2 linked regions of the Caenorhabditis elegans genome follow. The protein of the gene in region 2 purifies or fractionates together with the protein of the main gene of each other region. This does not show direct contact. Each region holds a gene or a part of one and is shown on either strand. Other genes may lie near its edges.

Region 1 (3,335 bases), on a different chromosome or scaffold from region 2:
TATATTTAGTGAACGGCCAGAGTCACTAATTTTGGTGAACGGCCAGAGTCACTATATTTGGTGAACGGCCAGAGTCACTATTTTTGCCAGAGTAACTATATTTAGTGAACGGCCAGAGTCACTAATTTTGGTGAACGGCCAGAGTCACTAATTTTGGTGAACGGCCAGAGTCTTAATTTTTAAAGTAATGCAAACGTAGTAAATCTCCCAATAAAAAAATGCGGTCATATTGCATGAAATTTAGTTTTTTTGATCAAACTGAAAGCTTCTGGCACCTGGAAATTTTTGTAATTAAATTCTGAAAGCGCTTAAAATTTGTCCCTTCTAGGACTTTTTACATAAAAAGCAGGATGGTTCTAGAATTTTCTAGAAACTCTGGAAAAGTTTTAGAATTTTCTTGAAATTCCGCAAAACTCCAGGAAAAGTGTTGACTGTACAAAAATCTTACATTAGCAGTTTAAAATTTATTAAAACAATTTACCGTACGCCAGTCGGAGCACGTGCAAACGGCTGGTTTTTTATAATATGCTTCTACATTAAATTTTTCATTTAAAACAGTGGGATATCATATACAAATCGATAGCTTTGTATATTTGCTGGAGTCCGAAAATCTAAAGATTTCAGACGAATTGTTTGGAAAAGGTTATATTAGTTATATTAATTCATTAATAAAAAAGTTTATATAGATAAACATGCACGGCCGAAAATAATTAATTGCAGCAAGTGGCAAAATATGTTCCCTCCACACAGGTTGCTCCAGCTGGACAGAACTTTGATTTGCAACTCTTCCCAACAATCGTTGTAGGGATTCCACCCTCGACAATTTTTGCAACTTTCTTTCCTTTTGGACATTTTGGCTCATAATCAGCTTCAATCAACTTTTCAATCTTCTTGTCACAGCAAATATTAATATGATTAGAGTACCTACAGATACCTTTTGGCCCACATTCTTCCTGGAATTTTTACAGATTTTTTCAAAAACATGGAGCAACTTACATCGGTTTGGCAGTTTTTATCGTTTATTGGCTTACTTCCAGCGGCACATCCCGATTGATCATCTAAATACTTTGGTTTAAAGTAAAAAATTCAAATGAAAAAACATACATCCAGTACATGTAAATCGACATTCACTCTCAGTTTTGAAATTATTCTTGTTTCCTCCACATCCACTGTACTCAAAAGCCAATGGGATATTGGATTTTTGGTCAAAGTGGTACTGTAAATTATTAAGACTTTATACTTTATGAATTTTATGAAATAAAAATATTGAGAAATATGTTTAGTTTCTGAAAATAATTTTGCTTTTGTTGAAAGTTTTGAAAAGTTGAAATTTTGAAAAGACTTACAGTCTCAGTGTTATTTCGGCACGTTGACTTTTGAGTCAGTTTTTGAGCAAATTCTCGGAATTTTCAATTAAACGTATAGCTATTTTCAGAAAGTACCAATGTTTTTCTATATTTTTTTCCAATTTCCAAAAATTCCAAAGTTTCCAAAAAAAAGCGACATGAAAGCTTTGAAAAATCAAAACTCACTCTTATCTCCTTCTTTCCATTTTTACATGGTGTTTTTCCCATGTCCAATGGAAGTTTGCACTCCGGTTGAAGTGTCGAGACTAACTCACTGACACACAGAATAGTAGCCAAAAAGGTAAGAAGAAGATTCATTTTGCAAAATTGACAGAATAATTGAAATGATCACCGTTTTATACTACTGGAGAAATGGATAAACACGTTGAGAGATAAAGAAATCGAATGACTATACTCAACACTTCCTGGTTTAGATAAGAAGAAGGTCAAACTGGATAATGTTTGGTTGAAGTTCTAGTATAGATTCGTTTAGAAAAATCCGTAAATCTCTTTCAATTGTCGAATGCTAGCTGACAAAACACCCAGAAATCTTCCAATCTGAAATTCTACCTAAAAGTCCAATAAAACAATTATTAATATGGTTGTGTGGCCAAACCATCTAAAAAACTGTTCAGCAAATTTTATAAACGCTCTTGGTATCACCGTGAATGATTCTTTGAATCACTTCCTGGTCACAGAGATTACCAATACGGAGATCATAAATGCCATTTGAAAAAAAGAAATTTTAAAATAGGCTACTACAAAAAATTGACAAGTATTGTGATCAGGATAAAATTCTATCTGATTATTTTTCCAGTGCAAATTGCTTCAAATCAACGATGCTCGAGCTCGACAAATTTCGAAATTTGCAGCACACCAAAAATTTGACAAAACAATTTTGCCCAAAACTATTGAATTTGTCCCCTAAAATTTAGTAAAATTCCACAAAATGGAGTTAATTTGATGTTTAAGCTGACACAGCTCACGAAACTTATTCAGAAATCAGATGTGTGATATCTTTGGTGCTCCAAAATACATCTAAAATATAACATTTTTCCGGAGTCTGTTGAAAACGGCAAATTTGCCGAGTTTGCCGAGCGCGGCAAATTTTGAGATTTGCCGCACATCCCTGCTCCAAATGTGGAAGCCTTTAAAAGTGATCATATTTTTTTCAGAAAGAAAAGTTTCTTGAAAACTCCTATAGTTGTTCACATGTTTTACAAAACATCTGAAAGTCAAGATTATATATGAAAAACTACTCTAACGCAATTTTTCTTTCTGCCACCTATTCACTTTTTCCAAAAAGTTGGGAAATCTCTTGGACATAATTTTCTAATTTCTTAACCCAACTCAAAAGCCTTATTTGAGAATAGACCTCGAGTAACCTAAATTCTCCGGTCCACGTGCTTGTTTATTCCGTTCATGCGAAGTTTGTTCCTAAAATTTTTTTAATATATCCTCTGTAATCCCCCAGCTAAACTCACAAATTTCCGATTCCTTATTTGCTTTTCATGTCACTTCGACGTCTACTTTTTTCGTTGCAGTTGCTTTTCTCTGAAATTCTCCGCAAAAAATAACAAAATTTTGTTACTTGTTACTTTGTTCGCCGTTGATTGAATATGTGCTATGGCAACTCTTTCTGAGTTGTTGGGTTCAAGTTTTGGTAATTGTATGTTTTCAAAAAAAAACTGAAAAGTAAGGTTTTGATTTAGAACGTCAGAATAGAAAACCAAAACCCAAAAAATAAAATAGAAAACAAAAAAAAACGAATCATTATAGTCAAGTCTCTATTGCGAAAAGCAGCTACTATTAGCCTATGGGGTCAATTTGATTATCTGCCTTTGCCTAGTCGGTGTTTTCCCAGCGCAGAATCCACTTTGCTCTGCCTGTGCTCCAAAAGAGTGCTCATTTTCAAAAGACACACATACACTCTTCTCATTTTCTCGTTTTTTTGCTTCTTGTTTCTCATCGTCCGGTTCTTTTTTTTTC
Region 2 (3,756 bases):
ATATCAAAAAAGTCTAACTGATAAAATGTGGAAAAATATTTTTTTTTTACTATCCAACAAAAATTTAATTCTGAAACTCAATGGATGTTGAGTTAAGACTGGTACAACAGAACAGTTCTCAAAAATTTTGGTAGATTTTAGGAAACTATCTTTGAATCAGTGTAACTCAATAAATCCTTGCTACTTTGTAATGAAAATTGATGCAAAGGGAAGAAAAAATATTTCTAATAGTTTTGTTTGTTGAACATTTGTTTTCTAGAACTATAGTTTTCGAGATACGTCAGTTTGAAGATACGCAATTTTGCGAGTTTTAGAAGATATTGCAAATGAATATAACCATTTTTGTACGTCAACATATTGTCTCACTTCTTTCTCTATAATTTTAACGGATTTCTCATGAACAAAAATGAAGTCGAGTAGTCAATGAGATTTCAACTCTTTCCTTTTTCCAATTTCCCCATCTCACTTCCGATCTCTCCGGAAACCTTTTCATCAGACTCTCCTGTCCATTGATAAATGACAAGTTGATTACACTGTTTTATTTATTGTAAATAAATCAACCTGATTGTTTATTTTCTAATGTTGTCCTATTTATTTTTTAAAGTGTCAGCAATCATTTCCTGCAAATAAGAAGACGTCAGTGTGTCTCAGAGAACGTTTTTTTCTGAATTGAATTTCATCTCGTCAGTGAACTACTGACACCTACACAACAAAATGTTGTCACGGTATATGTAGGTGGGCGGCAATTAGCATTTCGACCGGAGGAGAAACGGTTTCAAATATGCGTTTGGATGAAATAAGTGTCTAGGAATTTTTGGATGAATAATTGAGAACTCATATGTGAAAATCGAGGTGAGTTTTTGATGAAGAAGGCAGAGAATATATACAAATTAAAAAAACACACACATTTTCAAAGATGGATTATTTTGGAAATCCCATACTACAGCAGTAAGCCACATTCAGATTGAGATACGAGGCGCGTGTTCGGAGTGATCCTTCCACTGGAAAACGTGAAATTTCTTACAGGACTGATTGTGACGTCATATCCAAAAAGTTAGATTATCATATTTTCCAGAGCTCAAACGAGTCGAATGTGATATTGTGATAGAAAATGATATGCCGTTACTCCCAGTTGCTCAATTTTGGCAACTAATTTCTTTTTGGAATAGATGGAATCTCGGAAATTTCCGTTTTCTCAAAAGTACGTTCAATTTGAAGTGCGCTTAAATTTAATTCTTCACAGTAGAAAAGCTGTATCATACCGTAATTCAGAGGTGGCAGGCAGGTCCTAACTATAAGTTTTCATTTGCCCATCCAGTTTTATAGAGTGATGTTTTGAATAAGTGAGTAGCTCTAGTACGAATTGATAACTTTGAAAGGCATCATCCATAATTTTTGGGCTCCCTCAGCTTAGAATGTTTACCGAATTGTTTTGAACTATTTGGAAAATCTATAAATCTATTTTGCACCATCTGACAGCTTGAAAACTCATAGACCAATACACTGTATATTTTTAGCTCAATTTCCGGTAGTTTCCCCTCCTACACGCACTTTCACTGAAATGGTCATTTATGGTGTTCTTTCCTCCAGAAAACTTGTAATTTATGAGATATTTGAATAACAAAACCGGCGTAACTATGATGTATATCCCAATTCTTTTCCGCTTTTTCTTCATCTTAAAACAAACATTCAAGAGCGAAAAGGTGTTCCTAGAGCTCCGCCCACTTGAAGAACAATTGTCCATTTTCGGACGGAAAAGGGGAGAGAAAAGATGAAAAAAGTGAAAAAGAGAAAGAAGATGTGGGGGAGGAAGTGGGAGGAGCCTAGGAGCTACTATAAAAATCACCGAAAGCGGGGGAATTAGAGACAAAAGAAATTTTGATGAAAATGCAGAACAACTTGGTTCTACTTATCCTCTCGATTCTTTCAATTTTCGAGGTTTCGGCCTATTCAAATGTCGAAAAAGGAGCTGCAGCTAGAGCTAGGTTTGTTTTATTTTTTAAAGGTTCAGTGTATCCAAAATTTTCGAAAAATTAATCCTTATTAGTCTCAAACCTTACGATTTTCGTAGCAAATTTTTTTATTCTCAAAAAATTTGTTTTTGAAAGTCATATGGCTTCCATGGCTTCTAAATATGCCTTTTTTTGCCTACGTGCCTGCCTATGCCTATTTTTTATTTGGCATTAATTATAAAAATTTTTCTGGAGGCACGTATAAAACATTAAACCTCTAGTATCATGGTGGTTCAATTTCAGAGCCAAACTTCTGAGATTAGATATGAGGAATCATTTTTTCTAACGTATACATTGTATACATACTATACATAACAACAAAAAATCAAAAATTTCAAAATCCACAACCTAAATGTCTCACCGTTCCCCTTGTATTCCTTATCATCTTGTCAAGTTCATCTCATTGAACAAGACAACTAGCTACTAGTATCTATGGTTCTCAACGAAACTGAAACCAATTGATAAGAACCGGTTTTCAAAAAAAAAACTCCTTTTGCAGATGTTGGACAAGCGGGAACGGACGGCCAGCTCAATGGTGGCAGGAAGGAGACCAAGTGACACGTGGAAAATACTTTTATGAGTGTAGACGTGGACAGTTGGAGCCACTTGGATGTCTGTCAAGCACAGAGGAAAAGATTCCACTTGGACATACTTTCCAACAAGATAGATATGAGTTCATTTGCCAACTTGGTTAGTTTCGAGCATGGAAATTATACTGATCTGGGCAACTAGGCTTCTGAGAATACTATAAATTTTCAGTTGGAATTAAATTCAACTTTTTATTAGCTAGTTCAAATTCTTAATACCTACTACTCAGAATACCTAGTACTGTTTCCGTAACTTTTGGAGTCTTCGAGTTCACGACAGTGTTAAGAATAACTAACTTTCAAATTGTTAAAATATTTTAAAAGTAGGTATTCTCAAAATCGTGTCCATTCAAAAAAAAAACCATTTCTAATGTCTCTCATTCAACATCTTTTGTCGATTTGATCTTCTTTTTCCCCATATCATTGAGTACCCACATCTGATTTTGTAGAAAACGTATCAAATCTCCTTTTTTACGATTACTCTTTATCAGGAAGCGACGGTTATATCGAATTCGGCTACAGCGCATGTGTCGGCACAGATGGACGTACCTATCAAAAAGGAGAGACTTGGACCGATGCCAAGGTAAGAATGAGAGGAAAGTGAAAGATATTAAAACATGTGAAGAAAGTTGCAACATGTATCACATCCGGTGGGCGGACACACACAGTAGGGGGTTCTGCAATTTTTCTATTAACTTTTTAGTTGCCACTAAAAAAAAACGTTGATCAAAGTTTCAACGAAAGCTATAACATAGTTTTTGAACTGACCCAATTTTACTTTCGAAACTTCACTAATTTGATTCCAAACGAAAACTTTTTGACCTACAAATTCAAAAAGTGGAAGGCATAGTTTGACAATGCCGAGAAAAATCGCTGAAAATGTGGCACAATAATTAGAGATGAACTTTGAAAGTGTGATTTATTAAATTTAAATTGAGAGCGTGTTCGATGCAAGACTCATGCTTTCGTGCTCACAAAATTAAAATATTGTTAATCTACTTAGGAAGCACAAACCAATAGTTTCCAATAAAAACAAGTAGGCTTAAGGTAGGCACACAAACAGGTACTCTGATCGCCGATGTGCTTGCCCACAGTGATACCTAAAGTAAGTATAAGCTTGTTTTCTAGAGATCCCACATCCCATAGGTGCTATAGGC

What was found. The genes of interacting proteins can lie anywhere in the genome.
Region 1: the proteins of F42A8.1 (region 2) and Y49G5A.1 fractionate together in Caenorhabditis elegans (co-fractionation; one large-scale study listed by BioGRID). This does not show direct contact.

Annotation. Positions count from the first base shown.
Region 1 is NC_003283.11:5,285,697-5,289,031, forward strand, and holds Y49G5A.1 (BPTI/Kunitz inhibitor domain-containing protein), read right to left. Parts: upstream 1,678-3,335; 5' UTR 1,665-1,677; coding exon 1,533-1,664; intron 1,217-1,532; coding exon 1,105-1,216; intron 1,059-1,104; coding exon 997-1,058; intron 954-996; coding exon 711-953; 3' UTR 647-710; downstream 1-646.
Region 2 is NC_003280.10:9,344,697-9,348,452, reverse strand, and holds the start of F42A8.1 (uncharacterized protein), read left to right. Parts: upstream 1-1,862; 5' UTR 1,863-1,887; coding exon 1,888-1,985; intron 1,986-2,511; coding exon 2,512-2,702; intron 2,703-3,090; coding exon 3,091-3,182; intron 3,183-3,756.